Caenorhabditis elegans: one gene and its partner. The protein of the gene in region 2 purifies or fractionates together with the protein of the main gene of each other region. This does not show direct contact. Each region holds a gene or a part of one and is shown on either strand. Other genes may lie near its edges.

What was found.
Region 1: the proteins of F20G2.2 (region 2) and adk-1 fractionate together in Caenorhabditis elegans (co-fractionation; one large-scale study listed by BioGRID). This does not show direct contact.

The regions. Positions count from the first base shown.
Region 1 is NC_003282.8:11,208,650-11,212,982, forward strand, and holds adk-1 (Adenosine kinase), read right to left. Parts: upstream 2,183-4,333; 5' UTR 2,156-2,182; coding exon 2,081-2,155; intron 2,008-2,080; coding exon 1,691-2,007; intron 1,630-1,690; coding exon 1,524-1,629; intron 1,464-1,523; coding exon 1,137-1,463; intron 1,085-1,136; coding exon 881-1,084; 3' UTR 660-880; downstream 1-659. Other genes in the region: R07H5.9 (Kinesin motor domain-containing protein), read left to right, coding at 1-130, 192-259, 304-493.
Region 2 is NC_003283.11:13,754,245-13,758,168, forward strand, and holds F20G2.2 (DeHydrogenases, Short chain), read right to left. Parts: upstream 2,166-3,924; 5' UTR 2,150-2,165; coding exon 2,021-2,149; intron 1,975-2,020; coding exon 1,888-1,974; intron 1,449-1,887; coding exon 1,161-1,448; intron 1,115-1,160; coding exon 971-1,114; intron 906-970; coding exon 804-905; 3' UTR 767-803; downstream 1-766.

The DNA of each region.
Region 1 (4,333 bases), on a different chromosome or scaffold from region 2:
AACATCTACAACTTGCTATGATTCTGAACCGACGAAATCGGACACATCGAAAAAATCATCGAAGAAATCTCGAAAAAGTAGCCGTTCTTCAAAGGTTCCACATAGAAAGTTCAAGAACGTAGGATCTTTGGTAAGTTGGAAATATTTCTTTACTATTTGAGATAGAACAAAGAATCATATTTAAATTTCAGGATGAAAACGGATGTGTAAATGTCAAAGTAGTTGTCATCGAGAGACCAATCATCCGAGATAAACTCAGGTTTGATTCGTTTTCAGAATGAGCAATTGATAAGTAAGTTCCAGACCGATTGCTTTCATTGACAGTGTATTGTCTGCTCATGTGAAGAGCATTCTAATCAATGTCCTTCATGAGAACTACGAAGGTCTACCAGCGGAACAACTGATCAAATCAACTAATGTTCTTTTTGCTTTCCTTGATAAGAACGGCGTACAGAAACTTCGACGTGTTCGGAAAAGTGACGTTGATCACTAACAGTTTTACAATTTACCAAAACTGTAAGTAATCATATTCCTCTAGTCCTGATAAATATGCAACAAACTTTATTTCAGCCGTGGCAGTGTCGTTCTGGTTCTGGATCTGATTGGCTTTGTCGAAAAGGGGAAGAAGATTCCAATTCAAATCGACATGGATGAAGAATAAAACTTTGCCATTTTATTAAAACACCTGATAAATGAATTATAAGGCACATTTTGGGAACATTTGACAAAAAAAACAACACCAAAAGAAAAATTTCGAATAATAGGGATGCTCGAGGACGGGGAATGGGGAGCAAAACAAAGAACAATTTGATATACTATAAACCAGGGGACTGGGAAATTGAAAGCAGAGAAAGTTGGGATCACAGATTATTTTATCAGTTTAATGGTACTTGCAAACAGATGGCACTGTGCATCCGTGCTTCTTGATGATTTCTTGAGCAGCATAAGATCCACAGGTGACTGAAGCTTCGACTCCCTTTCCTTGGATGAATTGAGAAAGGAAACCTCCGACAAAAGCGTCTCCGGCACCGTTGGTATCGACGATTTCTTCCTTTGGAAGACGAGTTACTGGGAATTCGGTGACCTGTAGATTAAAATTGAAAACAATAAATTCAAAAATTATCAAAAACTCTCACCTTATCTCCTTCCACGACGATGACTGGCTCTGGTCCTTGAGTGAAAACAACGAGTCTTGGCTTAGTAGATTTCTTTGGAAGTGCAGCAGCCTTCAAAGCGATCTCCTTGACACAGGTGGTCTCCCATCCATTGGCTTTAGCAAAGGCAGCAGCTTCGTCTTCGTTTCCGAAAAGAACATCGACCAATGGAATGATTTCCGAGAGCTTATCGAAGAAAAATTGGGAGATGAACGGGGCGGAGAGGTTAAGGGTGAAAGTCTTGTTGAATTCGGCAGAGTGGCTTGCGAGTTGGAGAATAGCTGGTGGGCAGACAGTGATGAAGAATCCCTGAAAATTTTACATTGAGAATACTTTTGTGCTTATTTGTAAATCAATTCGATAACTTACAGTGACATAGAAATATTTGGCCTGCTCGATGATCTTCTGATTCTCCTCCTTCTGGAGATGATCTTGAGTGAAGGTGTTAGCAGCAGCCAAATGAGCACAGAGTGATCTGAAATCATTTCAACACGGCAACGATGATTTTTCTGTCCGTCAAACAATGATCCGCTTACCTATGAGTTCCGTTGATGAGGGCTGCGCAGGTACCGGTCTTAACTGTCTCGTTGATCTGATAATGCACATTCACTCCAGCTTCTTTGGCTTTCGATGCCAAAAGATCTCCGTACTGATCTTTACCAACAGCTCCAAAGAAAACTGTTCGGTTTGGTGCGTTCAAAATCCATTGAGCAACACGGAGCGAATTCTGTGCGGCTCCTCCTGGAATGTACTCGACTTTGAAATCTCTGGTAAGCTCGGTGAACATGTCATTGTGCTTGTCGTCGCAAAGAATGGCGTCGTTTTCTTTGAGTCCCCATTTGTCAAGGAATGCCTGTAGATTTCAGCAATTAAAATGAAATATTTTTGAATGTGCTTCTAGATTTCTAGAGAAATCAAAAACTTACCTTTTCAACGGTGGTTTGAATGTCCAACAATGGATTGCACATTCCGATGAGGGTGTTTTCTGGCAGAGGAGACATTTCCGTGACGTGAGGAGATGGGATTACCTGCAGATAGACAATTAGAAAATGAAAAGTGAGAAAAAGGCGAGTTTTGAACGAGTAAATAGACATAAGAGAAAACAAATAAGAAGATTGGCAAAGAAAGAGTGCGAAAAAACCGTTTTCGTGCTTTTTTGAACACGAATAACGCTGTAAAGCCAAGATATTTTGTGTTTTAGGACAATACATTTCCACGAAATCCACGTTGTAATTTGAAATTCCGGCCGAAAGACATTTTTGATAAACAACGATCGCATGGGATATCGGAGTGTCGTTGCAACGTGTTTTAAGATTTTATCGATCATAAATCTTTGCTGACAGAAGCGGAAAGTTTTTAAAACACCGTTGCTATCTTAAAAAACATGAACGTTTAAAAAAACCAAGAATAAAATTTGCAAGTTTCTAAATGTGGAAGTACCTCCTTCAAACACAAATTAGTGAATGCTATTTTGAATAATATTTTGAATAATATATTAATAATGGCTGATTGTTTGATGAATACTGTGTATTTCTTTTCCAATTCTACGATTTTAAAGTGGGAAGCAGTTATGCGGAATGGTCTCGCCAAGAGCCGTCTATTGATATATTTTTCTCAATCAATGGCTGGCGCGTGGCGAGACCAATCCGCATAAATGCTCCTCCCTTTAAAATCGTAGAACTTGAAAAATTCATAGTAAAAATACGATTTTCGAAAGTGGGAGCGATGAGTTTCCAGAAAAGTGAACGATCAGGCGTGGAAATTCAAATGTAATAAGATAACTTATTAGAACTTGGACAAAAATGAGAATGAGTTACACACAAAGTACACGATTCTGATGAGAAATGCGCCTTCCAACTAGCCTATCTTCTATTTTATCGTCCATTACTCCCCAGTCTGTCTGCAGTTTCTAAAAGATCTCCGCTATTTCGTTATCGGTTTTTTGACCGGCAAATTGTGACACTGATAGTATCTACCGATATGCCATCTAGCCTCAGAACAAGAAAAGTTGGCTAACTTGCGGTGGTGGTTTGAACGAGACAATTTACAAGTTATGTTCAATTTAGAAAACAATTTTAGTTGTCAATGGCTTTTAAACCTAGCAATTACATTAAAGTCTATTGCAAACAGTTTAAAATTGAAACTAAGCCTGAATAAACAGACACAGTGCGTAATGCAATTTTCATGTGGAAGTTGCAAAAAAGATAGAAAAAAGAGAAGAAACTACAACGGCAACTGTTATGAAAAAACCGATTGATTTCCATTGTGTTCTATGAACAGAAGGTGTCTCCTGCACATAAGTTCTCAAAATGAGAAAAATTTTCGAAAATGGCCTGATTGAAAGTTGATAGTCGATCAATTAATGATCTATTGGGGTTTCTATGTGGAGTAATATAGAAGTTGTACTCATATTTATTGGCAGTAGTTAAACAATTACCTATATACTCCGAAAAGTAAAAACTACAAAGTTTTTTTCGTACCCACGTTGTGAGTTGATACTCAGCTAATAGGTGAATTTTCATATTCTCCTTCACTGCACTATTCACTATATATATAATAGATAGCCGTTATAGAGCATTATTTTCTATGAAAATTAAACATTTAAATCTTTTTACTTATTGTAAATAAATACTTTTAAAACCTACGTTTTGAAGAACTTGCATATTTCAATTAAATGAAAAAACGTGTTACAGATTTAATATTGCCACTGGAGATTTAGTCTCAATAAACTCCAAGTAGTCTAACATGGCCGCACATTAGTAAATTGCCAAAATTGGCCAAAAATGCGTATTTTTGAGTTATTTCAAGCATATTTGTAGGTCCAAACTATTTAAATTTTTTTCTTTGAAACGGAACTAAAAAATGAAACTGGTAAATGTAACATTTTTTCTACTTCCAAAATTATAATATAGAAAAACTCTTAGTTTTCATTCCTTTTGACTGTATAAAAATTATTTCAAAAATTTTGCGAAAAGTTTTACAACGATATTTGGAGCAGTTTTAAACAACTTCATACTGAAGTTACTCAATATTTAAACCATATTCTGTGCTATTTGAAACACTTGAAACGAAACGAGAAGAAAGTAATGAAGACAACCAACTATCAGTAAAAATCAGTGATCTCAGAAAATTGTTTCTTATCATTTTCCTATTGATGACACTTTTAAAAGATTTTCAAC
Region 2 (3,924 bases):
ATATCATTTCTGTGGAAAATACTCCAAAATTTCACCATTTCCCATGATTGGCAAATCTTCTGTCTACGAGCTGACTGCGAGAAAAGTTACCTAATTGATACAAGCCTCAATACGGTTTTTTAAAATTAAATGAGGACTAACGGTTCGGACGATTCCAAACGTATAGATCCAAAACGGGCTCAAATTAACAAATTTCGTAATGAAACTTCTCAAAAATTATTCAAATTAAACGGATTTTAACTAACTATAAAATCTCGAAATTTGGCCATTTATCAGTGTCACATCTGTCCGAAGTTGACTTTTTTGGAATTGTGAGCCTTTCTTGCATATTTTGGTAGTTCAACTCACATAATTTTGTTGATTAAGGTAGATTTAAGGCCGATAGGTAACCAAAAATGATCGAAATAGGTTGCCAGTCGGCTTTAAATGTACCTTAATCAATGAAATCAAATGAGATAAACTTAGCAGTTTAGCAGGTAGTTAGCTTAGCAGGAATATGCAATAAAGGATGATAATTCCAAAAAGCCAACTTCGGGCAGATGTGACACTTACGAAATTCGTCCATGAGCCTTTGGTCTACACGTTCAAAATCGTTCGAACCGTTAGTCCTCCTTTAAGTTGTTTTTCAATTCCTAAAGCGCCTCTAATCATCACTTCAAAACTGACCATGGCTGATGATGACCGGCAATCTGTGCAATTTTAATTCATTTCCTTTTTGGAAATTGAAAACGGTGAAAACTCTTATTTCCCGCTGAAATAATTCAATAATGAAAACAGCTTTATTAACAATTTTGAACAAGAATTTAATTTGGAATAACAGTGAGGTCTGCGTTGAGGTATGCTCCGTGATGGGCATTTCCGAGGGTGAGAATGTTGTCGGAGAGGGTCTTCGTAGCATCTTCAATCTGAAAAAAATTAGATTTTTTTTCAATACATTGAGTTAAAAACATTTTAACGTTTGTTCGTTTACCTCAAGCATTGCATTTGCACCTCCCATACCAGTTTTAACCCATCCTGGGCAGAATGAGGTGACCAAGATATGATACTTGGCGAGATCAATTGAACAGGATTTGGCAAAAGAGTTCAGAGCCGACTTGCTCATACGGTAGGCAACCTGAAATTCAACATCAGTGAGGCCTATGTATTTCAATAGAGGTTACTAGCGGTCCGTTGAAGGTTCCATCAATCTTCTCAACTGATGCGGCAGTAGAAGAAATATTAACAATTGCAGCTCGGTTAATTGAATAACCATCTCCTCCATTCTTGGCTGCAGCTTTTTTGAGCAATGGGAGAAATTCTTGAGTGATGAGTGCAGTTGAGACGGAATTAGTCTCAAGCTGACGGATCAATGTTTTACGGTTCTTTTCTCCTTCGACATCATAAGGGAGCAGAATGCCAGCATTGTTGAGAAGAACAGTTAGACCGTCTTCGCCAACCAGCTTTTCAACCTTAAATTTACATTTTGATTGGATTTTTCGACATATTTAAAAGCGTATAATTTTGAAACTATTTAAAGTTCATATTTCAAGTTGAAGCAATACATGTCAATTTTTGGAAAATACTGAATATAACATATTTTTCTATAGATATTGCATCCCACAACTTCGTCCTGGCAGATCTCAGACACTATAGAGTCTAAAAAATATCTGTAAATTTATAGAGCGATACAACTTCTTATAAATGGAGAACAATGACAAATGCCGTCAAGATAAAGCACTTTTATTTATATTTCGAATTTTAATAAAATTTAAAAACAAAGCTGGATTTAACTCGGGAGTATGCAATTCCACTTTCAAGTAAAGTTTCTAAATATCTAAATTATTGTTCATCCTACATCTACCACGTTTTAAAAGTTGTACAATCATGCTAAGTAATTAATCTTCTTACCTCTGCGTACAGTTTGCTGATTGACTCGTCACAATCAATGTCCAATGGCAAAATGTGTAGACGAGAGTCTTTAAGGTTGCTGAGCTCCTGGAGAGAGTTCAATAAAGTGTTTAGTTCTGTGGAATACGCGTACCTCAGCCTTTGAAGGATCTCTGCACGTGGCAATGATAATTTGAATGTCCTTATGCTTGAGGAACTGCTTCAGAAGACCGAGTCCGATTCCGCGGTTGGCACCGGTGATGAGAAGACTTTTTGGGGACATCTTTAAGCGAGAGCTACTGAAAGAAAATATATAAATTATAGGTTTTGAGAATGTTGATTAAATTAAATAAATAAGAGCTAAAATTAGGAAAAATAATTGGGAAAAAGGTTTTATTTATATTTGAAAAAATCATGTTTATAGAAGACGGTGTATCGAAACAAAATACATGGAGTATCATAGTATAGTCCAAACCCAACCCCACACAAACAAACACACACAAACGTTCCTTTTCTCTTTTCACTCTCCATTCTTCGTACAGTCTCTAGCTCTCAAGGTTAGAATAATTGTCCACAAAGGATCGATTACCAGTTGTCTCTTGTTTATGATGCTACAAATAAATAGATACAAATTAAAACCTTCTGAAAAAAGAAAAATAATCCGAAAATAATTGGGGTTCGTCTGATTAAAACTCTGCTAATAAACGAGTTTTGTGCTTCGTTTTTTATCATTATTTCCTCGATTTTCGAACTTTCATCTTCTTACTGCGTCTCTCAATGTTTGCAGGAAAAAGATGACAAAGTGAGAGAGGACAAGAATTGAAGATTTAGATTGCTTGGACACAACTGTCGGTCAGAAAATTTGTAAATAACGAGATTGTGTTTTGGACAGCAACAATAACTTCTAGATATTTTAAGTATTATATTTTTTATTGCGTTGCGCCCAAAACCCTATTTCTTTGAACCCGACTTTTTTGAACGGGCTGGATAATTTTCGCATGCAAAAAAATGTTTGACACATGGAAATCTCGGAAAGTTTATTATTTAAAAAGTGTGAAGTCACCCAAATGAAAAAAGACGCTAGTGGAACGAGACACATTTCCAAAATAAATTTTCCGCGATTTTTGAAGTACGTTGCTTATTTTAATAATTAAGAGAGTTTCTGTCTTTTTTCAAAATTCCAAAGTTTACGTCATAAATAAACAGATTATGAAGATTAATTAAAGAGTTTAAAGTTTTTTTCAGCGATGAGATCTAATTTCAAACATACAACCTGACATGGTTTAATTTCAAAGTGTTATATTTTTCCTTATTTGTTTCTTTTTCTATGCACACTTTAAAAAAATCGTTTGGTATTAAACATTGTGTGCCTCATAAATCTGCACTGTGCAATCGCGCTCCATTTTTAATATCACAGGCAGTCCACATTGTTATAGCACACTAGCTTCTCAGAAACTCTCTATACTTTCATATTCATAGATGTATATTGTCACATTTGTCATAAAAGCTCGGCCACGGAACACCATTGATTTTATTTCTCTGTTTCTCCCATCTCTAAATCTTTCTCTATCTGTCTTCATTTTAACTTTTCAAAAATCGCTTTTGAAAACATTTAATTAGAATATGTTCTTCAAAGTTTTTTCAGGCAAATTTGAAAATTTTGTATTAAATCAAATTTTTTTTAAATGAACAAAAATTGAATGTTGTTGAATAAATGTTAATTGTGAAAAAAAAACCGGGATTCGAGCTTTCGTGGACAAAAATTCCACACCAACTTTTGGGTTGAATTTTTTTGTTCCAAAGGGATTTTTATGTAAAAGATTTTTCCAATGATACGTTTAGCTAAAAAAAAATGAACCCGGCTGTATTTTTGTATTTTTTGGCAGATTTTCACCTCAAATTTACTCAAAGTTGATTAAAATAATGTTTTTATTTTGGTTGATTTAAATATATAGCGTCTTTATTTGAAGCTTTTCGGTGTAAAAATATCTTGTGGCAGACTAAATATGTTCCAAATTTTAGAAAATTGTTCTCCAATTTCTTCTGAAAATGGACACA